2 linked regions of the Oryctolagus cuniculus genome follow. The protein of the gene in region 1 interacts with the protein of each later gene in a pairwise test. Links are inferred from orthologs where the notes say so. Each region holds a gene or a part of one and is shown in the gene's direction. Other genes may lie near its edges. The genes, in order: ZFYVE19 and VPS4B.

Region 1 (15,240 bases):
CAGAGAATGGCCCAAAGTCCTTAGACCCCTGCACCCACATGGGAGACCGAGAAGAAGCTCCTGGTTCCTGGCTTCAGATCAGCCCAGCTCCAGCTATTGCAGCAATCTGGGGAGTGAACCAGCAGATGAAGATCTCTCTCTGCCTCCCTCTGCCTCTCTGTAACTCTGCCTTTCAAATAAATAAATAAATAAATCCTTTAAAATTTTTAAATAAAAATGAAGAGAGTCAAAGACCATGAAGATCCTTTCCAACTCTGCTGTGATACATTCTTTTTGCCCCTCAAGGTATGCACAGAAACAGCTCTTCCCAAAGTCTGCCCTGATCCTGCCAACCATACGAATGTCTTCCTCTTTATTCCTACAGTATTTTCCTTGAATACTTTTTTTTTTTTTTTTTTTTTGGACAGGCAGAGTGGATAGTGAGAGAGAGACAGAGAGAAAGGTCTTCCTTTGCCGTTGGTTCACCCTCCAATGGCCGCCGCGGTCAGCGCGCTGCGGCCGGTGCACCACGCTGATCTGAAGCTGGGAGCCAGGTGCTTCTCCTGGTCTCCCATGGGGTGCAGGGCCCAAGCACTAGGGCCACCCTCCACTGCCTTCCCGGGCCACAGCAGAGAGCTGGCCTGGAAGAGGGGCAACCGGGACAGAATCCGGCGCCCCGACCGGGACTAGCACCCCGTGTGCTGGTGCCGCAAGGCGGAGGATTAGCCTAGTGAGCTGCGGCGCCGGCCCTCCTTGAATACCTTTATAGAATCACTTTCATTCTACCTCAGGGCCCGTTGTTCACTACACTATGTGAGCTGTCAGAAAGCAGGAGTGATGGCTTACTCAGCTGGAACATCTCAACCACAGCCATGTGGTATACCTTGTCCACAACGCCAGGCTCCATTAACTTAGGGAACTAAACAGTGAACTCTGTGAGCCTCATTTTGTTTATGATTCCCTTCCCGCTTCCCTGACCACCGCCCCAGTGAAAATCACCGGGGTGCTGTTAGGTGAATCTGCACTTACCTGCCAGGACCGGAATGAGTAAAAGGGGGAAGGGATGGAGGGCAATGTTGGACACTGCTGGGGTGGCTCGTGTGAGGTGTGAAGGAGACAGAACCACAATGACAACAGCAAGAGTTACCTAGGAAAGTGAGCACTCCCACTGTGCCAGGCACTGTGCTAAGTGCCTTAGGTGGACCAAGCCTCACAACGATGCTATCGTCATTCCCATTTGGGCAGAGAGGTTAATTATTTGTCAGGGTCACAGACTAGGTAAGTCGTCAGTCAGTATTCAGGCAATCTGACTCCAAGGTCCACTTTCTTAATTATAACTGCTAATAAGTACAAAGGTGCTTATAAAGGCACATTTACAATCCCCAACATTGCTCAATGTTCCAGTTAGGATTTCCACCCATTCTCAACATGACAGATGCTCACCAAGCAAGAGTTCTTGGCCTTACTTGCCAAGAGTCGTTATAAAAACTGTTATCTTCTACACTAAGAGTCTTTCTAAGAAATCATTAGCTGACTGGAAAATGTGAACTTCTAGGAGAATTACCAATGTTAGCCTGTGCATTTCAAAATGATAGGTCTGGGGAGTGCTGGCTGAATCCCAGCTGCTCCACTTGCAATCCAGCTTCCTGCTAATGGGCCTGAGAAAGCAGCAGATGATGGCCCAAGAACTCCAGCCCCTGACACCCACAGGAGACCTGGATGGAGTTTTAGACTCCTGACTTCAGGCTGGCCAGCCCCAGCCATTGCACACATTTGGGGAGTGAACCAGCAGATGAAAGATTTGTCTCTGTATCTCTGTCATTCTGCTTTTTAAATAAACAGATACATCAAGGGGCCGACACTGTAGAGTAGTGGGTAAAGCTACCGCCTGCAGTGTCAACATCCCATGTGGGCACTGGTTCGAGTCTCAACTGCTCCACTTCCAATCCAGCTCTCTGCTGTGGCCTGGGAAAGCAGCCAAAGATGACCCTGCAGCCACACGGCAAGACCCAGAGTAAGCTCCAGGCTCCTGGCTTTGGACTGGCACAGCTCCGTCCATTGCAGCCAAGCGGGGAGTAAACCAGTAGATGAAAGATCTCTCTCTGTCTCTCCTTCTCTCTCTGTGTAACTCTGACTTTCAAATAAATAAGTAAATCTTTAAAAATAGAAAAAAAATGTTGTTTGTGGACAAACACATGGAGAAAGGGAAAGGAAACAAAAAAGAACCAGGGAGAACTGTATCCAGGTTGGTTTCATAAAGGTTCAGCATTTCCTGCTCTGGGTACAGCACTGCACACTTAGCACCCTGCTTTTGAGACAGGACTGCGGGCAGGGAGGCCAGCGCTCTCCTACCCACCTGGTGGAAGTCAAAGTACAACCGCCCCAAAATTTCTATGCCTCTTGCAAGAGGGAGGGAAGGGTGGGAAGAATCACTATGTTCCTAAATTTGTATGTATGAAATGCATGAAGTTTGTATACTTTAAATAAAAGGTTTCTAGGTAAAAAAATAAATTAAATAAATTTTAAATAAAATAAAAATTATTATGTCTTTTAAATAAATAAAACTCATTTTCATTATGAATCAAAATGTTGTAAAAATAATTGTTTTTGGTCTAGTAATTCCATTTAGTCATAAAATAATACTCCTAAGAAAACAATAACTAGGGCTGGTGCTATGGGATAGCAGGTAAAGCCTCCACCTGCAGTGCTGGCATCCCATGTGGGCAGTGGGTCGAATCCCAGCTGCTCGATTTCCAGTCCACCTCTCTGCTATGGCCTGGGAAAGCAGTAGAAGATGGCCCAAGTCCTTGGGTCCCTGCACCCACATGGGAGACCTGGAGTAAGCTCCAGGCTCCTGGCTTTGGATTGGCACAGCCCCGTCCATTGCGGACAAGTGGGGAGTGAACCAGCAGAAGGAAGATTTTTCTCTTTCTCTCTGACTCTCCTTCTCTCTCAGTGCAACTCTGACTTTCAAATAAATAAATAAATCTTTAAAAAAAAAAGAAAACAATAATCACAAAAAGCAAAAACAAAAACATAGCACCTGTGCAGATTGCGCAGTTTGGATGGCCCCAAGTTTCCTTTTCAGGTTGTGGGGTCTCGCTGCAAGGGTCTCTGCAGTGCGGCCGGAGCCATGCCATCCAAGCGCCCGCTACAGTCCTTTCAGGACTTCGGACGTGCTGCATATGGGACAACGGCCTCATCAAGGTGAACAGGAAGCCCCTGAAGATGATTGAGCCACGCGCATGGCACAGTACAAGCTACTGCAGCCTGCTCTGCTTCTGGGCACGGAACAATTTGCTGGCGTGGACATCCATGTCCAAGTGAAGGGTGAAGGGTGGTAGTCATGTGGCTCAGATTCATGCTACCACCAGTCCATCTCCAAACCCCTGCAGCCTGTTACCAGAAATATTTGGAGATCGGGCCGGCACCGCGGCTCAATAGGCTAATCCTCCGCCTGCGGTGCCAGCACACCAGGTTCTAATTCTAATCCTGGTCAGGGCGCCGGATTCTGTCCCGGTTGCCCCTCTTCCAGGCCAGCTCTCTGCTGTGGCCAGGGAGTGCAGTGGAGGATGGAACAAGTCCTTGGGCCCTGCACCCCATGGGAGACCAGGAGAAGTACCTGGCTCCTGCCTTCGGATCAGCGCGGTGCACCAGCCGCGGCAGCCATTGGAGGGTGAACCAACGGCAAAAGGGAGAGCTTTCTCTCTCTCACTGTCCACTCTGCCTGTCAAAAAAAAAAAAAACAAAAAAAAAAAAAAAGGAAAGAAATATGTGGAGATCAAAGACATCTTCATCCAGTATGATGAGGACCTGCTGGAAGCTGAACACCCCACCCCACCCCCGCCACTGCCAATGCAAAAAGTTTGGAGGCCCTGGTGCCGGTGTTCACTACCAGAAATCCTACTGATAAGCCCATCACCAGGATCAGGGGTCAGCTCTATAATATATGGTGGTTGTAGGGCAACATCCACAACAACAAAACAATAATCCTTATTCAGTCAGTCACCCAGCAAGGATTTACTGACCATCTATGAAGGACCAGGCATTGGGTGGGTGTCTGGCACAGGGGTTAAGTCACTACTTTAGACACACATATCCTACACTGAAGTGCCTGGTTCAAGTCCTGATTCCTCTGCCTCTGATCCAGCTTCCTGCTACTGCACCCTGGAAGGCAGCAGATGCTGGCTCAAGTACTTGGGTCCCTGCACCCACATTTGAGAACTGGATGTAATTCTAGGCTCCTGGCTTCTGCCTGGCACAGCCCGGGATGTTGTGGGCATTTGGGAAGTGAACCGGCAGAGGGAAGATCTCTCTTTGTTTTTCAAATACAATGAAAATACATAAACATAAAAAAAAATGCAGTCATCTGGGAAGTGAACCAGGGGATAGAAGATCTCTCTAATTCTGATTTTCAAATAAATAAATAAATCTTTTTTATAAAAAAGGAAAGAAATGTTGCTGAGGATACAAAAAAATAGAAGCTCATATGCACTGTTGGTGGGAAGGCTGAATGTAAGGCAGTTCCTCAAAACGTTAATCACAGAATTACCACGTGACTCAGCACTTCCACTTCTGGATACACCCCAAAGAATTTAAAGTGGAAAGTAAAACAGATCCGTACACCCACGTTCATACTAGCATTACTCACATCAGCCAAAAGGTGGAAACAACCTAAATGTCCATCAACAGATGAACGAATAAAAAAAATGTGGTACATTTGGGGCAGGCATCATGGCCCAGCATATTAAGCCACCCCTTTTTTAAAAAATTAAAAAAAAAAAAGATTTATTTTAAATGAAAGAGTTACAGAGAGAGGGAGAAAGAGAGAGAGAGAGAGAGAGAGAATGAGAATCTTCTATCTGCTGGTTCACTCCCCAAGTGGCTGCAATAATAGAAGCTGGGCGGATCTGAAGCCAGGAGTCAGGAGCTTCTTCCAGATTTCCCAAGCAGGTGCAGGGGCCCAAGGACTTGGGCCATCTTCTACTGCTTTCCCAGCCCATAGCATAGAGCTGGATTGGAAGTGGAGCAGCTGGGACTCAAACTGGTGCCCATGTGGGATGCCGGCGCTGTAGGCCAGGCTTTTAACCCGCTGTACCACAGTGGCAGCCCCATTAAGCCACCTCTTGCAACATCCACATGCCTTATCAGAGGTGCCAATTTGAGTGCCAGTTGCTCCACTTCTGATCCAGCTCCCTGCTAATGTGCCTGGGAAGTAGCAGATGACAGCCCAAGTACTTGAGTCCCTGCCACCATGTGGGAGACCCGGATGGAGTTTCTGGTTCCTGGCTTTGGCCTGGCCCATCACCGGCTATTGCAGGCATCTGGAGAGTGAACCAGTGGATGGAAGATTTCTCTGTCTCTTGCTGTCACACTCACCCTGTCACTCTACCTTTCAAATAAATAAATAAATCTTTTTAAACTTTTTGAATTTTTTTTTTGTTATTGAGTTGTGTTTGTTTTTACAATCTTGGAAAACCTGAAAAGCATTCTTAATTCATTTTTTAAAAAGGCCATTGGCCATTGGATCCCTAAAACCACAGTTCGCCTTACTCCTTCATTTTCCATTTGGGGAAAGTCAGGACCTGAGAGAGACAGTGACCGCCCCCAGTCTCCTGATTCTCAAGTCAAGCTGCTGCAGTGATCTCTGTAGCTGCTACATCATTCACTAAACAAATAGTTCCCGAGAGCCTACTATGTATTAGTCATCATCTACCAGACCGGAGCACAGAGGGGAGTATGCACGAGACGAAGAATCACACAGATGAACAAATGGTTGCCAACTGAAATAAGTGCCGGAAAGGAGAACTGGTTACTAAGAAACAGGGCCACAGGCTGGGCCTCCATGGGGATGCCACCACGTTTCAAGGCCTACCTTCTATGACTTCCTAGCTTGTGCTCTAGACAAAGTGGACTATACACACTGTCTCCTTTATTGGAATGCCAGTCTTCCACCTCCACCTGTCCAAATCCTGCCCCCTTTTCAAAGCCTCAAATGCCTTCCCTACTTTCCCACCTCTTCTCCCAATCCAGAAGCAATCCTGGCCTACTCTGAACATGCATAGCATTTTGCTTTATCTGTCTTGTGGAATGCACCACGTGCCCCTTGAATTAGTTGTGCATGGAAATTGCCTCCCCTACTAAAAGGCAGCAGTGGCTGTCACCCTTCATGCAGAGCCTTCTCTCATATTCTTATCTCACCTGAGTGAGAACTCTCAGCAACCAGTGCCCAGCTTAGTCTGTTGCCTGGACAACAGCCACCCACCACTGCCCTCCAGGGCCATTCCGCACACCGATGTTGAACATTTTACCGAAAATCCTATTATGTGACCACTCTGATTAATACTATAATACACTTCAACGGTTCCCAGTTGTCTTCCTCAAGAGTTCTCAACTTCAGGGTTCCAAACTCCAGATTTCACACTGGCTGGGTCTTGTGTGAAATGTCCCAAATATTTTCTCACTATTAATAAAGTACTAGTTATACAACTTACAAATATAGAGTACTTGGAATACTGTCTGGCATACAGTAAGCATTACACAGGTGTTAGGCACAACTAATACTGAAATATTAAGAATTATAAGAGGTGGAGCAGGTGCTTTCGGCCTGGGTAGAACATCCCCACAGCCACTCTAGATTTCAGCTGCAGCTGCAGGAGACAGTTCTGAGCAGGATGGCAACACCTCTTCTCAGGGACTCTCTAGGTCTCCTGGCTTCTCCGCCCCAGTTTCCTCTTCTCAGAGCTCGCTCAGCCCCTGAGCAGGGAAATCCGGAAGTACAGGGGCAGAGTGGGCTTTAATTTTCATCCCATCAATTATCTGCCTCTCCTTGCTACGGTGTTAGAATTACTACCGCGATGCGGGGCGATAAGCCTCTGCTTCATCACGGTTTCACACCCTGGCACCTTCATCAGCCCCCATGGGAAGAGGAACCCCAGGCCACCCGCCTTGCCCTTCTGACCCTTGCTTTCTTGGCCCATTTACTAGCAGGTGCTGTGAAAGCCAATACCTGAACACCTGCTACTTCGAAAGCGCCCTTGGGCTAGAGTGGGTCAAAGGCCACACCGCCAAGAAGTGATGAAGTGGGAGTGGAGAAACCTCGAGGGCTGACCTTTCTTCCACTCCAGGTGGAGCTAAATCAGCCTGCCAAAGAGACTGAAACGAAGCGCCTTTAGCCACAGCCAAGCCCGAAGCGGACGCGGAGGCTGAGACTGCGCAGGCGCAGAGAGGAGGCTGGGCCTCCCCCACCCCGCAGGCTCACCCCGCGGCCTCTCCCACGCAGAAGCCACAGGGCGAGCATGGACACTCGTCGCAAGGACACCTCTGTGCTCCCCGTCCCCTCCCCGTGAGGTTCTCAGAGCGTCCAGGAAAGGTCTGGGGGCCCACCTTGCGAGCTCGTCGGGCAGCCCCTCGCTCCCCGCCCAGGGCCCGGCCGAACCTGGAAAGCAGGTACCCGCGGCGAGCGAGGCGCCAGCACAGGAAGGGCCTCCAGACCGCTCAGGATCGGCCTTCTTCTCCACCGTTCTCACCTCTTTGTCCGCCGCCTTCTCTTCAATACCTAGTAGCGCGTAGAGGTCCATCTGTAAGAGCTCCTTGGTGACCGCCATGGTTCCAGCCCTGACTTGACTCGTACTACAACTCCCAGGAGTCTAAGCGCACGCAGGGCCTGCCGGATGCGAGCGGGCCAGATGGCGCTTAGCCTCTTGGGAATTGTGTTCTAGGTTCGGCTTGACTGGCTCTGGTGGAGGTGGCAGTCATGAAAGGACTACGATTCCCAGCAGCCCCGCACTCGCCGCCGCCCCGCCGCCGCCGCCGCCGCCGCCGCTCCCTGGCTAGTTGGTAGAGCGGGCGTTCTGAGTCCCCGCCCCAGGCCACAGCCCGATCGCTTGAAGGGGGCGTGTGGGGCTAGGCGACGTAGGGTGAGGGTCCCAGGGGCCCTGGACCGGGTGGGCGTGGCCTCCACTTTGCAGATCGTGACGCGCCGGGATCCACGATGGAGAACAGATGCTACTGCTGCGCTGTCAAGTTCACCCTCTTCAAGAAGGAGGCGAGTCTTCTCTCTCCGAGGTCTGAAGGGCCAGGGAGGACGCGGAGTGCGGGGGAAAGCACGGGACTTGCAGTCCGAAGACTTGGTTTCAAGGCCGCTTTCCAGCTGTGTGGTTTTGATGACATCATTGAATCTGTCTCCCAAGTGGGGCTCTCACTCTCACTCTCGCGTTCGGGGTTTTCGTGAGGGTCCAGTGAGTTGCTGTAGATGAACGTAGCCTATAAGTTGTTAAGCACGCTGCTGCCGTTGTTGGAAAGTTGTGCCTTTCCGCCTGGTGTAGAGTCTGGCTGTTTCCCTCTCACCATCCGATCTTGTGTAATGCCCGGTGACCCCGTGTATCACACCGTGCCAGTTAGTGCCATCCCGCAGCCTGCACTTACCCCCCCCCCCGCCCCCACCCCCAGGGCGCGCGGGGGAGGCTCTCTTGTCCTCAGCACTGATCTGCTAAGTTCCCCTGGTTAAGTGCAACCTCGGTTGTGGCCAGGGCACCTCAATCAGGAAGTGATGGAAACAGATGGGCTGCATGGATGGCACCGAGGGAAGCAGACCTACAGTAGATGCCTGGGTTTGGGAGTCAAGGAGCTCTGCTGGCTCCTTCACGGGGTGACTTTGGGCACCCTCTCTGCCCCCTCTAAACTAGTGGTGACACTGGTGGCCATCAGGATCAGGTCAGATGACGTGTGTGTATCGTTGAGGATTCAGCCAGATGATGAAAGCTACGTGCTGAGCTTAGTGCCTGGCACACAGTAAGTGCTTAATAAATGCAAGCTATTGTTATCCCCCCATCCAGAGCCAAGTTGCCCTCTGGAGCAGAGAAGGCGGAGGCCGGGAACTCTCTCATTGTCTTTGTGAAAGAATCCCATGGCCCTAAGCAAAGGGCTTTGCCTGGCCGTCTTTTGGGTGCTGTGTCAGGGAATCGAAGACATCAGAAAACAGGGGATTTTGCATGAAGCTTTATTTTATTTGAGTGAGGCTGGAAACCGAGCAATTGCTTTCCCCTTCACCCCTGTCTCCCTACACCTTAGGGACCCCACTCCTCTTCCTCCTCCAAGCAGCCCGTCACAACTTCAGTGTCTCCTCTCTCCCTCTCTCTGTGCTTGGAGAGCCTTCGGGGTACGGGCGGGAGGAGGATCCTCCTGCTTTGTGTTTCTTGTAGTGTGGCTGTAAGAACTGTGGGCGAGCCTTCTGTTCCAGCTGCCTTCGCTTCAGCGCAGTGGTACCTCGTGCTGGGAATACGCAACAGAAAGTCTGCAAGCAGTGCCATGAGGCCCTCACCAGGTAGGAGGCCTGGCTGGGCGAGGAGCCAGCCTGGCATGGCAGCGGCATAAGCCAGCCCTCACAGCCTCGTGCTCTGCGGCTGGAGGTCACCCAGGGGGTGTCTGAGGGCAGTGGACACTGACCGGTGGGGTGGCAGGACTTCCGACACTAAATTTCTTGATTTTTTTCTCTATAGTGGGTCTTCTCCTGCCAATGCTTCCAAGTGGTCACCACCTCAAAACTATAAGAAGTAAGTGTCAGGTTTGGAATAGCTTGGGATTCTGGCCTTTCGTCGCCCCAGAAAGGAGAGACAGAAAAAGGAGATGGAGCCAACGGGTGGGCCTCCCCTCCCAGCCTCCAGATCAGACGAGCATAGGGCCAGGAGGTTGCCCCCTCTCAAGCCACTGTGCTCAGAGAACAGCCCATCATCTTCTTCTGGGAAAGGCCCTTGGTGGCTCTCTCCCTCTCAGACCCTCTGGCCGGTCGGCTGGCTTGGGCAGCAGGGCAACACAAGCAAGGACCACAGGAGACTGCCCATCCGAGGCCTCCCTAGGTGCCCAGAGATGATCTGAACTGGAAGCAGTCAGTGGGTGCCTTCACTCCTCCCTTCTGCCTCTCTGAGAGCCTCTCTCATATCCTGCCAGGCGCGTGGCAGCCCTGGGAGCCAAGCAGGAGTCCAGCACCCTCCGGAGCCAAGGACTCACCCAGCAAGACCAGGTCATCGCTGAGCGCCTGGCCCGACTCCGCCAGGAGAACAAGCCTAGTGAGTGGGGGCAGGCAGGAGGCCTAAAGGACATGGTCCAAGGCCTTGACACTGGGGTTCCTCCGGTCCTTACCTGGGTCCTCCACGCCTATTACAGAGTCGGTGCCCTCGCAAGCTGAGATAGAGGCACGGCTGGCCGCGCTCAAGGATGAACCCCAGGGCTCCATCCCTTCCACCCAGGAGATGGAGACACGGCTTGCTCTACTGCAAGGCAGAGCTCCGCCTTCTCAGACCCCCAAGCCGGTGAGTGCTACAGCCTTGCAGGGAAAGTTTCCCAGGCCAAGGGCCTGGCAGGAGCCCGGATATGCTTATGCCCACCTCTACCTTCTGAGCCTCGGGCATGGGCAGCAGGACCGGGTGGAACAGGACAGAGAGGACCCTCTGTCCTGTTGGGGACCGCCAGTCCTGCTTAATCAGCACGCCCTGGATTCGGCTCCTTGCCCTGGGCTCTGGTCCAGCCCAGGCTGATTCTCGGCCATTCTGTGTGGCTCTCTCCCTACCTCACTCCCCACTGAGCTCCCCTCGTCTGGGCAGGCACATCAGGGCCCAGACATCAGGACACAGGCCCAGCAGACACAGGACCTGCTAACGCAGCTGGCAGCTGAGGTGGCTATTGATGAGCGCTGGGAGCGAGACAGCCCAGGTAAGCCCTGCATTGGCTCCCTGGGGACCTGCCTCCCCTCCTTCCCCAGGTGAATGTGAATTGGGGGAAGGGACACTCGCCGGAGCAGCTGCCGTTTCCTGCGTGCTTGCCCGAGGAAGCCAGGGTTAGCCTGGTCGTTAAGGGTGTGGACTTTAGATCAGCGCTTCCCGGTTCTGCCACACACTAGCTCTGGGAGCCTAGGCGTGTGTCTCTCACGGCCTCAGTCTCACTTTACTGTCAGGAAATGGAGGTATGGCCATTGCAACCGACTTCACAGTGTGTACATGAGATAATCCAGCAGTGCTGGGGACCACACATAGTAAGTGCTCAGTGGTTGTTCTGAGATGAGGATCATGACGACGACAAGGAGGTGCAAGAGACTATTTAACTTTAGCTTTATTAAAACTAAATAAAATGCAAAATTGGCTCATGGCTCCCATCATGTACGTGTAGGCAGAGAACCTGCAGAATGACGCTTCCATCGTCATAGAATATTCTGTTGGATGGTGCTGCTTAAAGCCTTCAGAGCAGTGGTTCTCAACCTGGGATGACGTCACATCCCAGAGCATTCTTTTTTTTTTTTTTTTTTTTTTTTTTTTAAGATTGATTTATTTATTTGAAAGGTGATTACAGAGAGAAAGAGAAAGAGAGATTTTTTCCTGGCCAAGGTCCACACGTTAAAATGTCAGGTGAATGGGGGTGGCGGTGGTGGAGAAAGACAGTTGGAACAGAGGAGGAAACACCAGTGTATTTGAAGATGGACCACAGACACTTGTGCTGAGCAGAAAGCTGGTGATGGTGGTTAAGTAGTTGAGGAATGGGCTCGGTGAGGAGAGGACCTGGAAAGCCTCGGCTCCCTGACCACGTTACTCCTTCCAGCTGCCTGTCCCCAAAATGACCTCAACCAGGGTGGCCCAGGGAGCCAGAGCACTCGTCCCCAGCGGCAGGCCAGCTCATCCCTGGACGAGGAGAAGAGCAGGCTGCTGGCCGAGGCAGCCGTGGAGCTACGGGAGGAGAACACGAGGCAGGAGCGGATCCTGGCCCTTGCCAAGCGGCTGGCTGTGCTGCGGGGACAGGACCCGGAGAGAGGTAAAGGCTGGCGCTGCTGCCCTGCCAGGGCTCGCTCGCTGCTGGTGTCCGTGTGCCCAGAGCTGCGTCATGCCCTGCCTGGAGGCAGAACTGGGGCAAAGCAGTGACTGAGGAATCAGTGGCAGCCATCAGGGTGGGGCCTCTGGTCCATATGGGCACTGAGGCAGAACCAGCTCCACCCCCAGCCCTCAAGGCCACATCACTGATGGCCCGGTTCTGCCTGTTAGGGCACCGCTCTGATTAGAGGGGCTGCGGAGGCTTCTCAGCTCCGGAACAGGTGCCCCGGGAACCAAACCAGCCGCAGGAGGCAAGCAGTCAGCCACTCAGGTGGAGTCCCCGGCCCTCACTCCCCCTTTCTGGCCCCCTCCCACTTCTAGTGACCCTACAGGACTACCGCCTTCCAGACAGCGACGACGATGAGGATGAGGAGACAGCCATCCAGAGGGTCCTGCAGCAGGTGGGTCAGGCTCACCTCGTCCTGTCTCTCTGCCTCCTTGTACACTACCCACTGGGCCCTGTTCACCCTGCCTCCACCTGCGGGCTGCATGCGCAGCCACCCTGGCTCCCAGCCCCCTGGGGACTCCACTGGCCCTCTGACCCAGACCTGGCCCCTCGTCCCTTGAGATGGGAATCAGCAGCTACTGCCGATAGATCAAGGAAGATGGGCTGAGGGGGGAGGCAGAGGGGGAGCCTGGGCGCGGGGCCGGGAGTGGGACCTCTTTGCCCTACACACAGCTCACTGAGGAAGCGGCCCTGGATGAGGCAAGTGGCTTCAACATCCCCGCACGGCCGGCTCCCCGACCCCGGGCCCAGGCCCGTAGGGCAGAGCCTGAGGTAAGGAAACCCCCCGACAGCCGTGCGCCATGCAGCCCAGCCTTGCTCCCTGCCTGGCTGACTGCTCCCCCAGCCGCCTCCCAGACTGCATCAGGGACCTTCCTGCCCTGTCCCCTCTGGTCCCTGAAGGCGCAGGCCAAGGCCACCACGCCTGAGGCTGAGGACGAGGAGCTTCCCTGGTGCTGCATCTGCAACGAGGATGCCACCCTGCGCTGCTCAGGCTGCGACGGAGACCTCTACTGTGCCCGCTGCTTCCGGTGGGTGCAGACACCACGTCCTGGGGAGGGCTCGGGAGCCACCCTGGGTCCCTGACCTGCACCCCTTCCTTCTCAGGGAGGGCCATGATGCCTTTGAGCTAAAAGAGCACCAGACATCTGCCTACCGGCCCCCGCACAGGGGCCGAGTGCACTGAGGACACCCGGGCCTCCTGGGAAAGCAGAACTACAGGCTGCCACACCCACCTCCGGGCCCGGCCTCGGGGCGTCCATGGCAAGAGCGGCATGAAGGCCACAGCCCTCCCTGAGCCTCCCAGCCCCTGGAAGCATGTAGGTTCTCCATCAGAGACAGCGACTGGAGGAGCGGAAGGGAGGCGAAGGCCAGACTGGAAGTGAAAGGCCCAACAGGGAAAGATCAGATCTCAGGAGCAGCCCTGGAACCTGGCTCCAGGGCCCCAGGGCCAGCCGCTGGCATCTAGTGGCTCTAATAAAGTGTGTTGATTCATTGCATCCGGTATCTCTTCTCTCAGAGAGGCGAGAGGCGGCCTGAGTGTGGGGCAGGGTATAAAGGCAGTCCTGTGGAATGAAGGAGCCGTCCTGTTAGCTTCTCCAGACAGGAACAGTCCCACCCACCCTGGTGACCGCCTACTAAGTAAGCATGAATATTCAGGCACCTGAACTGTGCTTCAGGCTCTGGGCAGCCCAGCTTAGCCACCAGGCCGCACCATCTTGGATCTCTGCTTCTCTGGTACTCAAACCATGCATACATACCTGCTTCCTGCCTCGGAGGAAGTTCCATTCCAGCCTGCCTGCCACCCAGATCTGGTGTCTGTCTTCCAACAACTCCCCTGACCTCAGTCTGTACCCTTCACCTTTCTCTGCATCACCCAGGTTTTTCTCTTCCTGCCTCCAGCTGGAACCAGCTCAAAGGAGAGTTCTTAGCCTAAGACTTCTTGCCTCATTTGTGAGAACAAGAAGGTCTGGGGTGGGCTTTTGCACAGTGGTTAGGCTGCTGCTTGGGATGCGATGCCTACATCGCATATTGGAGTGCCTGGTTCAAGTCCCCAGCTCTGCTTCTGATCCAGCTTCCTGCGAATGTGCCCCCTGGAAGGCAGCAGGTGATGACTCAAATCCTTGGGTCCCTGCTGCACACCTGGGAGACCTGGGCTGAGTTCTGGGCTCCTGGCTCTGGCTTGGCCCAGCACTGGCTGTTACAGGCATTTGGGAAGCGAACTAGCAGATGAAGATCTCTTTCTGTCTCTCTGCCTTTCAAATAAAGTGAAAATGATTAAAATTTTGTTTAAAAAGAAGTTTAGCCTTCTCTGAAGCCCCAGATTGAGCTAGATTTTTCCTGTTACTCCATTCTGGGATACGAAGCTAGTCCTTGCCACTTGGGCCCTCCCATTGGCGATGCCAGTATGCTGTGTGTTGGCTCTTGGCATGGCCCCTGGGCCTCGCTGGATTGTGATCTCTCTGCAGCAGAGCTGTGACTGTCCTCTTTGGATGGATGGATGGATGCAGTGTGGGGCACAGCCTTGTGACTTAGGATGCTGGCATTCCAAGGTATCACTGCACCCTCTCCCTCCCCTCTTCCTCTGCACAGAGATGCTCCACACTCCATTTAGCTGATGCTGCTAAAAGTTTTATCCATTTGGCAGCCAAGAAAAGCACTGGGGAACAGCCATAAGTGGCTCTCGGAGCCCAGCCAACAGAAGCCAGCTGTGTGCACATGACCGGGTGTACAAATGTCCCTCCTTGTCCTCGGTGTCCCTTGCCCATGTCCTGGGGCGCTGTGTCCCTCAGCTGTGATGCAGGGAGGCCTGGCAAAGCATCTTGTCTCCAGGCTTATTTCTGAGGCCGGCTGAGTCTCCGGAATTTCTTGAGTTGGCTGAGCAGCTCTGAGATGAAAGGCTGAGGAAGACACATGAGGGACAGCAGGCGTGAGGTCTCATGTGCCGCACTGCCCTCCTTAGCTCCCCACAGCAGGGGAAGGACCAAGGCGCCTGGGCCAAGCCTCGCCCTCCATTAGCTCCCTTCTCCCACCGCCAGCAGCACATCCCTTACCTCCGTGGGGCGGGGACAGTTTCGGAGAAGGTCCTGGGTGGGAAAGAGCAGAGATGGGGTCCCTGAGCCACAGTGCTTTCGCCCGAGCCCCCCACTCAGTTGCCTAAGAATTCTGCCCTCTGAACTGGGACTTCCCACTCCAACCAAGTAGGCAGAGCCTGGGTTCCTGGACTGCCCTGGATGGGAGCCCAGCTTCCACCCCGAGCCTACCTCCAACTGAGTCTTCTGCTCCTCTGTGGAGAGTTCCATGAGAGCCTCCAGGTCAATCTCAATGTCAGCAGTCACTGACTCATCCTGTTTGGGAATCGCAAACAAGTCTCAGAGGGGCCTGACCAGCTGGTGTTGGAGT
Region 2 (15,109 bases), on another chromosome or scaffold:
AAAGAAAAAAAGAAGCTACTACAGACATCATATTTGAGCCTCTCTGGTCCAGTACATGATTGCTGGTCTTACGCTGCATGCACTTCATTTCTGCTTAATGTTTTTTGGTTGACTTGATTTTGTAATCAAAGGGACAATGAACAACTAAACAACTAATGTAGGCTATAATTACCAAGAAATCGTTCACTTAAACACCAAGAAGTGAAATTCATTTGCTTATAGAGGTGGACATTAGCTTGATGATAACATTATTGCTGTTTGGGAGATGGTGCTAATCTTTTTGGAGGATGGGGGATGGAGAGTGGGGTCTCCTAGATCCTTCTCCTGAAACTAGTCCATAGACTATAAGTGATTCCAGTGCAAACCCTCTCCCCAGATCTATGTGTTGATGTAGTGACAGTGATCTGGGGGAATTTTGCCTGTATGGAAAAACAACAACAACTGGAAAGAATCACTGTGGACAGCAAGGGCGTCTGCGTCCAAATTATTTTTGCTGCTGGAAGAAGTATTGGTCAACATGTTTTGAAGGCTCAGAGACAAGTTCCTCTTTTCTGAATTAATTGCTTCTGCTCCATATGAGTCCCAAGGTAGCACTTTACAGATAACTGTTGTCTTAGTCTCATAAACATAAATTACAAATATATATATATACACATATATGTAGTGCCAACAAAAATTCTATAGTTGCTTGTGAATGCAGTGTTTACTATATAAAACCTTACATATTTCTTTTCTGTTAAGAGGAAAGCATTCATTCCTCCGGTCTCTTTTATAGAAATATGTTCTGAAATACTACTATGGGGGACGCACACCAAGGTGGCCTCAGTGAATCATGCATTGTCTGGAGCTCAGGCAGCACCCGTGACTTGCTTCAAATCAACAGAATACAGGTAATGTTAAGCGGATTTTGCAGATGTAATTAGCTTGGAGTTCAACGAGGAAATTATCCTGGTGAGTCAGACCAACCATATGAACCCTTTAAAAGAGGGCCTGAGCTTTCCCCAAAGTCAGAGACTTGAAATCAGAGACTCAACATGCGTGTGTGCATGTGTGCGCATACGCAGGAGTGTGCATGTGTGTGCGCATATGTGTGTGTGTACTTTCCTGGCTTTGAAGAAGCAAGCTGTCAGTCATCCTGAATCACAAGGAAATGCATTCTGCCCACAACCTCAGGGAGCTTGGGAGCATACCCATTTCTGGATAAACCTCCAACCAGAGAAACATGAGAACACAGCCCAGCCTCTACCTTGATTTCAGCCCTGTCAGATCCTGAGCACAGAACTCAGCTAAGCTGTTCTTGGACCCACAGAAGCTGTGAGAAAGTAAAAGCATGTTGTTTTTAAGTGGCTGAGTTTGTACTAGTTGGTCATGCAGCAATAGAAAACCAATACAATCATATTTAACATTTAAAATGACTGTATATGAGACACTATAAAGTTTAGAAGAAGAAGACGGCCCGGCGCCATGGTTAATCTTCCACCTGCGGTGCCTGCATCCCATATGGGTACCGGATTCTAATCCTGGCTGCTCCTCTTCCAGTCCAGCTCTCTGCTGTGGACCGGGAGGGCAGTGGAGGATGGCTCAAGTGCTTGGGCCCTGCACCCGAATGGGAGACCAGGAAGAAGCTCCTGGCTCCTGGTTTCGGATCGGCACAGCGCCGGCCGTGGCGGCCATTTGGGGAGTGAACCAACAGAAGGAAGACCTTTCTCTCTGTCTCTCTCTCACTGTTTATAACTCTACCTGTCAAATAAATAAATAAAGAAGAAGACAAGGATACCTACTCTTGAACTTGATTTTTATGAAAAAAAGAGGCAAAGATACCACTGTTCGCGGAAGTTTTTATTATTGACCTAGAAACTTAGGAGCATATATTGACAATCTATTAGAAACAAGGTAGCAGCCAAAATTAACCTCTGCATATATACCACAACCCACTAGAAAATATGAGGAGAAAATATATTATTAATGATAGAACAGTAACATAATAAAATACTTAGCAATTGTTCAGAAAATATATAAAGCAAAAGAAAGCACTATTAAGAAACATACAAGGATACTCGAATAAATAAAGATATAATGTTTTCTTAAATCTGAGGAAATGCAGTACTATAAAGAGGTCCATGTGGGACCTGCGTCGTGCTGCAATAGGGTAAGCTGGCCCTTGAGATGCCGGTATCCCGTACGAATGCCGGTCTGAGTCCCAGCTGCCCCATTTCTGATTCAGCTCCCTGCTGAAGTTCCCAGTTGGAAAGCAGCAGTAGGTGGCCCAAGTGCTTCACTTCCAATCCAGCTCCCTATTAGTGTGCCTGGGAAAGCAGAGGAAGATAAACTGAGTGCTTGGGTCCCTGCCACCCACAAGGGAATTCCTGGCTCCTGGTTTGACATGGCCCAGCCCTGGCCCACTGCAGCCATTTGGAGAGTGAACCAGCAGGTAGATGATTCTCTCTCTCTCTCTCTCTCTTTCAATCTCTCTCGATCTCTCTTTGTCATTCTGCCTTTCAAATAAGCAAATATTTTTTAAAAAATAATCCTCTTATAGAAAACTTCACTGGTTCAATGAACTCTACAACCTTTCTCAGATGAAATCATCAATTCCTGGCCACTCCCTTGTCACTACTGCCACACTCATCTTCCCAGCCTGTCCACCCCACACTGCACTATTATGGAGCAAACTGTGAGTACATTGCAAAGCATATTTTAGATTACAAAACGCAATTTTTCCTAATGCATTGGCAAAGATCAATGAATTAGAATTCATTTTGCTGAGAAGTTTGAAAGGGAAAAAGCCAGAATAATACAGCTTCCAGCTGATACCCTGAAAGTTCTCCACCTCTCTACAACAGAAGGAGCACTCTCAGCCACAGATGTTTGAATACAAAAACTAAAACAAGGGCAAACAAGGCATTTTGGTGGGAAGAAACAAAAGACGTTCAAGACAAGAAAAGTTGGGCAGGAGTGGGGAATGGTGTTTGAAACCAACTTTTTTTTTTTTTAATTTTATTTATTTGAAAGGCAGAGTTACAGAAAGAGGGGAAGAAAAGGAGAGATCTTCCATCTGCTGGTTCACTCCCCAAATGGCCACACTGGCCAAGGCTGGACCAGGCTGAAGCCAGGAGCTTGGAACTCCATCTAGTTCTCCCAAATAGCTGGCAGGGGCCCAAGCACTTGGAGCACCTTCCAATGCTTTCCTAGGCGCATTAGCAGGAAGCTTGATGGCAAGTCGAGCAGCGGGGACTCAAACCAGTGCTGATATGACATGCCAGCCATGCAGGCGGCAGCTGGACGTGCTGTGTCACAACGCCAGTCCCTGAAACCAACTTCTTAGGCACATTACTTGGATACCAAGTATTTGCAGTCTGGGAGATGATGATGTCAGTCTGCAATCTTCCCCGCCGGGCGGATGCCTCACACTGTACCCACCCTGTGTCGTCAACGGGCAGGAACGGCCACCTCCTCCCCACTCACAGCACGTGGCTGGTGGCTGGTGAGGGCTGATCCCCAGACCTGCTCAGCAGTCCACAAGCTGGCTGTCTCTTCACGTGAATCAAATGAGTAGTAGGGGCTGGACCTGCAGGGTAACTGGGCACATTCAGAAGGCTCCACCACCAGTCAAGACCCAACACATAGGGCCTGAGAGTCACTCCTCTCACAGCACTGGTCCTGCCAGCACTGTCTTCCCCGAGGCTGCTGTCCGCATCAGGCAGGGAGCTGACAACAAGTAGAGACCTGACTTCCAAGTGCAAGGCTGTGTGAGGACTCTAATACGCATTTCCTTTCAAAATGGTCTGAGTGAAAGGGATTCAGTCCTGAACAGGCTGCTCTTGAGTCCAAGCTGAAAGCTGACTCTGAAATGCCGCCTGCCTGCTCCCTGGCCTCCCTCATTTCCCTCTCAAGCAGGTAAGCTTCGCTGTGTTCAACAGACCTTGGCCATATAAGCCAAACATTCTGGGTGTAAGGACATAAGAAACTACAAAAATGAGTAAGACGAAGGCTGAGTCCTTGGGGGTTTTACAATCTGGAAAGACAAGACACATGCCAGGGAGGCTGACAATGAGTAAGTATCTGCCAAGTGCCAGGCGCTGTACTAGGCAATCAGCACACATCACCTGTGGGACGTGCAAGGTCCACAGGGCAATCAGAGTGGAGAGTGTCAGAGGCTCCTTGAGGAAGTGGCTTTGGAATTGGCACTTGAAAAATCGGTGTGATTTTATTTAACAGGCTGAATCAGTGAAAGCAACTGAGCATAAGAGGCAAGGAAGTGTAGGGAGGGGCTGTGCCCCAGGAACAAGGGGTGCCCTACAGGGCTCTGCACACCTCTATTTCTCCATTGTGACTGCCCCAGCAACCTCCGACATGATCTGCCCACGTCACCCTCTTCCTGGTCCACTCATCTTTATAAAACCAAAATCAAATCAAATCATACCTCTGCCAAGAAGGCAGGCAGGAAGGGAGAGAGGCAGGGAAGGAGGATGGGGAATGGGGGAGGGGGGAGCCGCTCAACAAATCCTTCTGCCCTCAGAGTAAAGTCCAAGTCCAACTCCTCATGATTCAATGCCTTGGGCATCTGGAGGTGCTGGGTGGGGCACTTTAAGCTTCCTTGGCCACTCCATTGCCATGGCTCTCCTTCTTCCAGCCAGCCCTCAAACCTGTCTGTCCAAATCAGTAAGATTGGGTTTATTTTTTATTTTTTTTAAGATGTATTTATTATTTATTTGAAAGTCAGAGTTACACAGAAAGAGGAGAGGCAGAGAGAGAGAGAAAGAGGTCTTCCATCTGCTGGTTCACTCCCCAGTTGGCCGCAACAGCTGGAGCTGCGCTGATCCAAAGCCATGAGCCAGGAGCTTCTTCTGGGTCTGCCACATGTGTGCAGGGGCCCAAGGACTTGGGCATCCTCCACTGCTCTCCTAGGTCACAGCAGAGAGCTGGATTGGAAGTGGAGCAGCCCAGTCTCCAATCAGTGCCCGTATGGGATGCTGGCACTTCAGGCCAGGATGTTAACCCACTGTGCCACAGTGCCAGCCCCAAGACTGGGTTAATTTATTTTATTTTATTTTATTTTTTGACAGGACAGAGTTAGACAATGAGAGAGAGCGAGAGACAGAGAGAAAGGTCTTCCTTCCGTTGGTTCACCCCTCAAAAGGCTGTCACGGCCGGCGTGCTGCGCCAATCTGAAGCCAGGAGCCAGGTGCTTCCTCCTGGTCTCTCATGCGGGTGCAGGGCCCAAGCACTTGAGCCATCCTCCACTGCCCTTCCGGGCCACAGCAGAGAGCTGGACTGGAAGAGGAGCAACCAGGACAGAATCCGGAGCCCCAACTGGGACTAGAGACCACAGTGCCGGCGCAGCAGGCAGAGGATTAGCCAAGTGAGCCGTGATGCCAGCCAAGACTGGGTTTAAATGACACTCCTCCAAGATGGCCCTAACCACTGGCTCAGGATGGAGTACTCTCTCTCCTGTGGCCCCACGGGACATCCTGACTCTATTGTAGCTCTTGTCAGGGCCTCATCTGACATTGACCCTGGATGGACTTCAGACACCAGCCATGCCAGAGAAGAGCTGTATGGTTCGGGGAACTTCTATTGATCTGAGGTTTAGTTCTCATTTACATGAACTGCCAGCTTTAAATTCTAACTGGCAGAGCTAGTACGTGAAAGTACTTTGTAAACGGTTACAATGTAACATATTTACATTTGGGTTTTAAATATGTGAAAGGAAAAAAGTTTCTATTCCACTAGAATCTAAGGTTCCAGGGAATAGGAATTTCAAAAAGAAAAGCTTTTAGTTTCAAACAGTATTTACAGAAGAGTTGCAAAAGTGTGTAGAGAATCCCCATCCCGGACTGCTGGCTCTACTACAGACGTTATTCTGTTTTAGTTTTCCAACGGATACTTTTCTTTCCGGCATCTCCTCCAGCACCGCATTTAACTGGTGTCTCCGTCTGCAGCCTGTGGCCGGCCCCAGTCTTCCCTGGTCTTCCACGACCCAGACGCTTCTTGAAGCGTGTTGGTTAGCTATTTTGTAGTAGGAACACCTCCGACCTGGATTTTTCTCGTGTTTTCTCAGGGTTAGCCTGAGATTACAGATTCTTGGCAATAATGCCGGAAAGGTGATGTTCCTTTCTCATTGAACACCAGGGCCCCAGGGGGTACATCACATCCACAAATAAAAAAAAAAGTTTTTTTTTTCTTTTCACTTTTTGTTCATAGCCAGCATTTAAAATAGACTGGCACACACGGATCACCATAAATCTCATTCAATTCGTCGAACCATTTGGTGTCTTCTCCACTAAACTTCTAAAATAGCAAGAACCCGATTATATTCATCCTCATGGTTTCCTGATGCTCAGCTCTTTCTTTCCTTTTCTTTCTCCCCCGCCCCCCACAGCAAACACTCCCCAGCAAAGTCAATACCCCGGAGGGCTAATGAAAGTCCTCCTGCGCTTGCGCGCAGCCTGGCTCTCTGCCTCTAGAGCGCAGGCGCAAAGCCAGACTTCCGCCAGGCGTTGGCTGGCTTCAGGGATACTTCTTGGGAAGTCCCTAGCCACAGTGAGAGGCCGACAGGGTGGTGACTGCGTAGAGCGCGTGTTGATGACGGAAGCGGAAGTGCCCCGGCCAGAGGCGGGACTAGGATCCGAAGGGGCTCGGGTTTGCGGAAGTTTTGAAGAGGGTCCGGTGCTGGCGAGCGCAGTGTTGTTTCAGAACAAGTTCCGGACAGAAGGCCTTCGCTTGTGATCCGAGAGCCACCAGCTTCCCCAGGTGTGGGGCCGTAACACTGGGCACGATCCGAGGTCCCTGCTCTCGGCTCTCCTCGCACCCCGTTGGACCCCGGGGAACCGCCTCGCGTCTCCACCATGTCATCCAGTAGCCCCAATCTCCAGGTATCATGCTACCTGCGCCGCCCTAGAGCAGTTGGGTGGGGGGCGGGGAGGAGGGAAGACCGGCCGCGCCCCTGCCCGGGCGGAGGAGGGCGGGGCCGGGCGCGGCCGCTGGTCGGGGAGTGGGCGCCTTCCAGCCGAGGGGGCGTTTCCGGCGGGCTGGGAGGGTCTCCTGGGCCACTGGCTGTGTGACACCCTTGACTTGGTGTGGAGCTTCTAAACGAAACAGAAACAGGAAAGCACCAGCCGAGCTTGGACCAGAGTGGGCCAGTGTCTCCCATCGCTGCAAAGAAGAGAGGCAGGAACGTAGTTTTTGCCGGCTGAGCGTAGGGTGGTCCCACTTTTTTGTGTTCCTCGAGCTGATAGAGCCAAAGTCCTTTTCTCGAGCTGTCAAGTGGCAGAAATATGAGCACAGCCTTGGAATCCGAGGTTCCAGCCAGCCTGCGTGCAGTCGCCGCGAATTCGGGGTGTGTGTGCGTGTGTGTGCGTGTGCGCTGTTCTGAGACGCCCCATTTGTCATCTTTAAGAACAGGGGGCATCTGTAAACCTCCGTGCCTCCAGTTCTTCGCTTTCACCGCAGTGAGCGCAGCATTTTGTACGTAAATCATGGACTTCAAAGATTTGAGACTCAATCGTTAGTCGCCTGTAGAGTGGAATTCTTAATAAGAAATGTATGTAACGTTGTCTTCCACCCCCAGAATGGATCTGGGACTTAAGAGGGGCTTGGGCCTGGAGGACTCCCAGTCCTGCCTGTCAATTTGGTACAGAAGTGTCCCATGAGACGTGTACTTTCCGTCGTCGTCTTGGGCTTCCAGTAGTTTGTTGGACAGGCATTTATTTATTGAGGGCCCGATACAGACTCCAAAAGTAAAGAGCGCTCTCCTTAACCCTGGGTACTCCATCCTGAGGGAAGACCACCCCAGCAGACCCATCTAAACAAGAACGTGGGAGAAGAGCTTGCTTAGGACGTTTACGTTGAAACTGGACCCAAAAGATTATGAAAATAAATGCTTTATAGCATTCACAAAATGTTATAATTGCAGGAATCATTCATTTCTTAGAATTAAGAAAAAGTTATATGTCTTTTTCCACTAAGGTATTAAACTGAGATGGGGCAGTCGCCACGTGATCCGGAGATGTTTGATAGCCCCATTCAGAAACGATCTTTCTGGTAAATGTACCTTGTAGAAATATCTATTGTTTGGTAAGATATTGTTCCTTTGAGTATTAAAGGTGATTTTAAGTTCACACTTGTCATCACCCTCGTTGGTTGTCTGTTAACTAGTTTTATTTTGTCAGCTTTTCATTTGTCACAAACTTTGAGTCTGATCCGGGCATTCCACAGTGAGATTTTCATCCGTTTGCTGATACCTTTCTTCTGCGAGATTTGCCGTTTTCTTCTGTAATCAGAATGCATCAACCTGAATTGGATTGTTGTATGTTCTTCAGTGAATCAGCTAGAGTTTGACAGGTGTTAAAGGCCAGTAGTAAACAGGAAGGATGTTGAGTTACGGCTTTGATTAGGGGTTGACTCACTCTTGTGTTTCTCATTGAACCCTTTCTTTTCTTTTTGAGGAAGACAGATATATATGGAGAGAGTTCCTTTCTGCTGGTTTACTTCTCAAGTGCTGGGTTTGGGCCTGATCAAAGTCAGGAGCCAAGAACTCAAACCAGACCTCTCACGTAGGTGACAGGAAGCCGTTTACTTGAGCCATCACCACTGCCTTGCAGGATTTATACCAGCAAGAAGCTGAAGTCAGGAGCCAGAGCTGGCATTGAATCCAGGCATTCTGGTACAGGACATGGGCATCTTAACTGGAGTCCTAACTGCTAGGCTGAACTCCCGCCCCTCATCAAGTCCTTTGAATGAAAACTACTCGGATAATGAATAACCTTTCCAGTGAGCAAGGCAGAAACCTCTGTAGCCAGATGCTCATAATGTAAAAATCAAAATAATAAAAAGTAATTTAACAAATACTGGGATAGAGTTAGAAGTCAGTGTGGGAGCACAGAAGGAAAGGACGTATCTCAGTCTTCCGAGGACATGACGAATATGTCACAGAGGAGCTGATGTGCGCTTCGATAAAGTGAACAGTGCTAACACTAATTGTCTGTTTGGTGTTTGATGTGCTCTCACTCAATCCTTAAAACAACTTTTCAAGGTGGAGTCTCACAGTATAAGAAACCTAAGCTTGTTAAGCTTATGGTTGACCCAAAGACATACAAGTATTAGTATGTAGGTTAGTTTTGAATCCAGATCTGTCTACTGAATTCACTACAAAACTGAACTCTCTTGAAAAAGTTGAATGCTTTCCAGGCAGAGAAAAATGACTTGTTCCTCAATCCAAAAGTGTAATAAATCCTTTGGGGAGAATTGCAAGTAATGTAGATGAAGTAGAACTCAAAAGTTTACTCATCCTAAATATTGTGTCCACAATGCCATGTTGTGTATGTGTCTGTGTGTAATCTGTGACCTCAGAAGGCTTACATGCTGATGTGAAACTAGACATACAAGTATAAGATGACCAATAGAATATAGTGTGGTCATAGAAGGTATGTACAGGGGGCAGTGGAAATCTAGAGGAAGTGCAGACAAAGCAGTCCAGGGGTTGCTAGCAAGAGCTTTGCAGCAAGAGTGCCATGCCTGGAGAGCCCTGGAGAAGCTGGAGTTTTACAGGGATGGGTTGGAATAGAGCATTCTGGGCAGACATGCGTGCTGAGCTGGACTAGGTCATGCCAGTAGTTTGGGATGACTGGGACTTACTGTAAGGTGGGGGCACAAGCCCGAGGGTTAGGCCCTATCACGAGGAGTCTTGTGTGCCACATAAACAGTCATCATCCTGTTCTACATGGGAGTCATAAAAGGGTTTCCAACAGTGGAGTAACCTGCTCAGGTGTTTTGTTTTAGAATGAGACTGTCCTGTGTACAGGGAGAAACTGGACTGGAATCAGGGAGACCAGTTAGGAGTTGGGGTCTGTTGATGGCAGAACGTAAGGGGCCACCTTAGCGTAAATACCTTTCTCAGTGAAGCAGAAAGGTATCGTCGGAGAAAAGTTGGGGAGGATAGTCAGGCTTGTGCCTGTGAGGGAAAGAGAAAAGGCAGGGTTTCCTCCCAGGATTCTGCATTGGATGTCTGAGTGGAATACAAAAGGAGAAGTATCAAGGAGTGTTATGGGACTGACATAGAGAAGCAAAATAGCTTTAGCTTTTGTTGAGTTTAAAATGTCCGTGCAGCAGGACAAGCATTTGGCCTAACAGTTAAGATACCTGTGTCTCATGTTGGAGTGCTTGGGTTGATACCCACCTCTGACTCCTATTTCTACTTCCTGCTGATGCAGACCCTGGGAAGCATCAGATGATGGCTCAGGTAGCTGAATCTCTGCCACCTATGAAGGCAACCTGGATTGCGTTCCCAGCTGTGGATTTCAGCCTCAGCCCAGCCATAGCCCTTGTGGACATTTGTGGGGGCAGGGTGACCCAGCAAGTGGGGTGCTCACTCACTTTCTCTCCTCTCTTCCCGTCCTCCTCTCAAAATGAATACAATTTTTTTTAAAAAATAAAATGCCCATGGGCATAATCAAATGGAAATGTCCAATCAGCATCTGAATACAGAAGTGTAGAACTAGGGTGAATGGCCTTGGATGTGAATAAGGATTTTGGAGTTATTAGTATAAAGATGGTAGCACAGGTTGTGGGCATGGTGAGTCCCATCTTGGAAAGTTTACAGAATGAGGGAAAATAAGGACCAGGGCAGAACCTCATGGGATATTGACATTTAAGGAAAGAGAAAAGGGAATCTGAAAAACAAGCAGTGGACAGCTCAGTAAAATCATGGGAGGATGCTGTCCTGAAGGCCAAAGAGGAGACACTGTCCAAGAGTTTGTTGTTAGTGTTAAGTGCTGTAGGGAGGGAATTAAGGTGAGATTTGGCAGTCAGGGCAGAAAACACTGCTGTGGCGAAAGAGCTCAAGAAACATGAATTTGGGGTACTCTGAGGTTTTGCTTAGAAGAACTAAGTAAGATGGTGGCAAGAAAGGACCCTGGGAACTGAAGAGAGTTGGTGAATTTTAGGTACGAGTCTGAAATGGGACTACACATGTTTTTCTGATAAGGAAGGACCTCTCAAACAAGGGACAGGTTGAGGAGAGAGCATGCCATGGCATGCCATTGAGGGCGTAAATGCTGCAAAGGTGGGGACCAGCTCAGAAACACAGAAGAATTAGCGTTGACTGCCCTAGCACATCTTTGCTCCTGAGGTAGATAGCCAGTTTGCAGGGGTTTCTAGGGCAGATGCACTGTGGTCTCCTAATCTGGAAAGGGCTGTCCCAGATGTTCCCAACCTTTGTACTTCCATATTGATAACTGGGTGCTGCCTGACCCTGGGGCAGTGAAGTCATTCACTCTCATGCTTGCCATTGTGCTAGTCTTGGGAGTATGAGCAAGTGCAGACCACAGACATAACTCCTGTCCCTACAGAGCTTCCATTCCAGTGAGAGAACAAAAATAAAACCCACGTAGGTTCACAGAGAGAGGGATAACATGCCTGGAAGGATTTTAAACAGGAGTGATGTGGACAGCTGTGTTTTATTTTGAGAGACAAAGAGAGAAAGAGCTGGTATCTCTTGTTTCACTTTCCAAATGCCTGCAACAACCAGAGTTGGCCAGGGCTCAAGCCAGAAGCTGGGAAAGCAATCTAGGTCCCCTAGTAGGAACCCAGGTGTCCCCATGCCCCTCAGGCTCCACATTATCAAGAAGCAGGACTTAGAAACCAGAGCAGGGAATTTAACCTAGGCACTGTGATGTGGGAGGCAGGCATGTTAACTGCTCAGCGTATGGGTTTTAAATTGAATTAACTGGGTAGTCATCAACCCAGAGATCATCAGCCATGAATCACTGAAAATAGACAACAGGCGGGAGGAGGAACAGTAAGCAAATGTGAGCCCCAAGCAAAACCTCATCCTATAAGAGGATGTAACCACAGAGGAGACTGAAAAGTAGCTGCCAGAGAGCTAGGAAGAAAACCAGGAGAATGGTGCCAGTGGGCTCAGCAGAGGACAGTGTCCAGGAAGCAAGTGATGGACCTTGTTATCAGCAGACCAAGGTGAAGACGGAGCTGGTCCTTGAGCCTGGCACCGCAGAGTCCCTTGATGTGATAAGGAGAGAATAGAGGCTCCGCTGTTGAGATTGTGGCTCTGACAGGTAGCAGAGAAACAGATCCAAGATGGAGAGTTATTAGTCTTTTTTTTTTTTTTTTTAGCGATTTATTTATTTATTTGAAAGTCAGAGTTATACAGAGAGGAGAGGCAGAGAGAGCAAGGTCTTCCATCCGATGGTTCACTCCCCAATTGGCTGCAACTGCTGGAGCTGCTCCGATCTGGAGCTGGAGCCAGGAGCCTCCTCCTCCAGGTCCCCCGTGTGGGTGCAGGGGCCCAAGGACTTGGGCCATCCTCCACTGCTCTCCCAGGCTACAGCAGAGAGCTGAATCAGAAGAGGAGCAGGTAGGACTAGAACCGGTGTCCATATGGGATGCCGGTGCGTCAGCCAGGGCGTTAACCCACTGTGCCACAGCACCACCCTGAGTTATAGGTCTTTTTTAGGGAAGACTATTTGTCTCCTGATGGAGACAATATCTGGTGGAGAGAACTTAGAGATGACAGAGGTGGGATAACCAAACAGAGGAAGATTTTGAGAAAACAGGATTTTTTTTTCACTCATTCAGCAGTTGTGTACTGTAGCCATCACCTTCCAGCCCAGATTAGGTTGGTGATGGGAGTCCTGTTCTCATGAAGCTCGCCTTAGTAAAGGTACAGGTGGTCAGTGTGTTTAGAATAAATATACTGGTAACGATGGGAAAAGCGTGTGGGAGAGGGGACGTCAGGGATGCAGCATGTCCCTGACCTGCGGAGCACCTCTCTGAGGACTTGTCTCCGGGGTAGGTCTAGAAAGGGAGCCATGCTGCCTCAGCTTGTGGGAAGGAATTTGGCTGTGTGTTCAGACTGTTTGAACCATGAGAGTGTAACTGCTACACTTTATCAATTCTAAAGCATACCACTTAGCTTGTGGTTCCTCCCACAACAGAGGAAGTAGGTTCTCCATTGGGAGATTTGGTGCCATCCCTATCCACTCCATGAACACCTACTTAAAAGTATATCATTCTGACGTATGATTGGCTTTGAAATTGTTTGATGATTTTTACTTAGATTAATTATAACTTATTTTTAGTATTGGGTAAGCATGATCTTTTTTGTCTGCATTTATTTCACTTTTACTGCCGAAATTAACCCAATTGGAATGCTTTAATCATGCTTCTTTCTTTATTTGTATGTGTTTTGTGCATTGTTTTAAAATTCAAGGATAACTTTAATGAAAATTTTGTGTTGAGGTAATTGTACATTTGTATTCAGTTTTAAGAAATAATAGAGAGATCCGATGTACCCTTCACACAGTTACATCTTGTAAAACTAGTACAGTATCATAACCAGGATATTGACATTGGTGCATTCTACAGCTCTTACTCATATTTCCCCAGTTTTACCTGTGTGTGTGTTCCTGTGCAGTTCTATCAGGTGAAGGTTCATATGTGCAATACCATGATCAAGACACAGACCACTTCATAAAGAAGTTCCCCTTTCGGATTCCAATTCAATCCCATCAAGGTGGCATGTACCAATGCCATCTCACTATTCCAAGTGATCAATTTCAGTTCACAATTGATCATAATGAAAGGACTAAGAGTCAAAGGGAGCACATAAACAAGTCTAGTACCTGCTAACACTAACCGATGGAATAAATAAAGGGGAGAGTGATCCAACATGGGAAGTGAGATACTCAGCAGACTTATAGAATGGCAGATGTCCTAAATAGCACTCTGGCCTCAGAATCAGCCCTAAAGGCATTCGGATCTGGCTGAAAAGCCCATGAGAGTATTTCAGGCATGGAAAGCCAAGACACTCTGGCAAAAGATCTCTGCGAGTGAGATCCCAGTGGAAAGAACAGGTCTTCAAAGAAGGAGGTACCTTTCTCTGAAGGGAGGAGAGCCTCCACTTTGACTATGACCTTGTCTAAACAAGATAAGAATCGGAGAACTCAGAGGGCTTCCATAGCCTTGGAAACTCATGACTGGAGCATAGGGAGACTACTGATGCCATAGACAGGAGTGTCAATTGGTAAAGTCAACAACAGGAGTCACTGTGCACTTACTCCTCATGTAGGATCTCTGTCCTTAATGTGCTGTGTATTGAGATTTAATGCTATAACGAGTACTCAAAAATATATTTCACTTTGTGTTTCTATGGGGGTGCAAACTGTTGAAATCTTTACTTAATGTATACTAAACTGATCCTCTGTAAAAAAAAAAAAAAGAAATTATCAATTCCCAACTTGACTCTCACTGGGATTAAACATGACAATAGGTCTGATCTGATTTCATCATCATTTAAAAAAAATCATCTATTATTTTTCACTTTATGTTTCTGTGTGAGAGCAAACTGTTGAAATCCTTACTTAATGTATACTAAGCTGATCTTCTGTATATTAAGATAATCGAAAATGAATCTTGATGTGAATGGAGGGGAGAGGGAGTGGGAAAGGGGAGGGTAGTGGGTGGGAGGGACGGTATGTGGGGGAAGCCATTGTAATCCATAAATCGTACTTTGGAAATTTATATTCATTAAATAAAATTAAAAAAAAAAAAAAAAAAAAAGAAGTTCCCCTTTCATAACCACAGCCACCTCACTTTGTCTTCCATACACCATCCCTGTCTCCTGGCAGAACAAATTTGCTCTCCATCTCTAGTTTTGTCGCTTTGAGGGCATTATATAAATGGAATCATACAGTATGTAACCTTTTAGGGTTGGCTTTTTTCACCTAACATGATTCCCTCAGGATTCATCCCAGTTGTTTGTAACGGTGATTGATTCCTTTTGCTAGTGTACCACGTGGTTTAACCACGCAGCCCTTAAGGACATCTGAACATTCACGTACAGGTTTCAGTATGAACATAAAGCTCTGTTTCCCTGGGGCCAGTGCCCAGGGGTGTAGTTGCTTGTTCATAGAGAAGTTGTGAGTTCAGTTTTGTAGACAAAAACAGCTAGTTTCCTGGAGTGGCTGCACCATTTTACATCCCACCTGCAATGTGGGAGTGATGAGTTCCCTGCGTCCTCACTGGCATTTGGTATTGTATTACCTTAGCCATCTGTGATGAATGCATATGGATATCTCATTGTGTATGTGTTTTT

What was found.
Region 2: the proteins of ZFYVE19 (region 1) and VPS4B interact in binary tests that used the Homo sapiens proteins (3 or more experiments, as listed by UniProt). The two-hybrid records come from large-scale screens. The link is inferred for Oryctolagus cuniculus from reciprocal best matches to the Homo sapiens genes ZFYVE19 and VPS4B.

Annotation. Positions count from the first base shown.
Region 1 is NC_091443.1:63,944,969-63,960,208, forward strand, and holds ZFYVE19 (abscission/NoCut checkpoint regulator), read left to right. Parts: upstream 1-7,845; 5' UTR 7,846-7,972; coding exon of another isoform or gene 7,973-7,983; coding exon 7,984-8,046; intron 8,047-9,182; coding exon 9,183-9,304; intron 9,305-9,479; coding exon 9,480-9,533; intron 9,534-9,927; coding exon 9,928-10,046; intron 10,047-10,143; coding exon 10,144-10,289; intron 10,290-10,580; coding exon 10,581-10,689; intron 10,690-11,568; coding exon 11,569-11,778; intron 11,779-12,155; coding exon 12,156-12,235; intron 12,236-12,513; coding exon 12,514-12,612; intron 12,613-12,741; coding exon 12,742-12,869; intron 12,870-12,945; coding exon 12,946-13,024; 3' UTR 13,025-13,337; downstream 13,338-15,240. Other genes in the region: DNAJC17 (dnaJ homolog subfamily C member 17), read right to left, coding at 7,509-7,586; PPP1R14D (protein phosphatase 1 regulatory subunit 14D), read right to left, coding at 14,673-14,738, 14,892-14,924, 15,102-15,185. UniProt on the Homo sapiens protein: Key regulator of abscission step in cytokinesis: part of the cytokinesis checkpoint, a process required to delay abscission to prevent both premature resolution of intercellular chromosome bridges and accumulation of DNA damage.
Region 2 is NC_091441.1:15,190,061-15,205,169, forward strand, and holds the start of VPS4B (vacuolar protein sorting-associated protein 4B), read left to right. Parts: upstream 1-6,511; 5' UTR 6,512-6,848; coding exon 6,849-6,875; intron 6,876-15,109.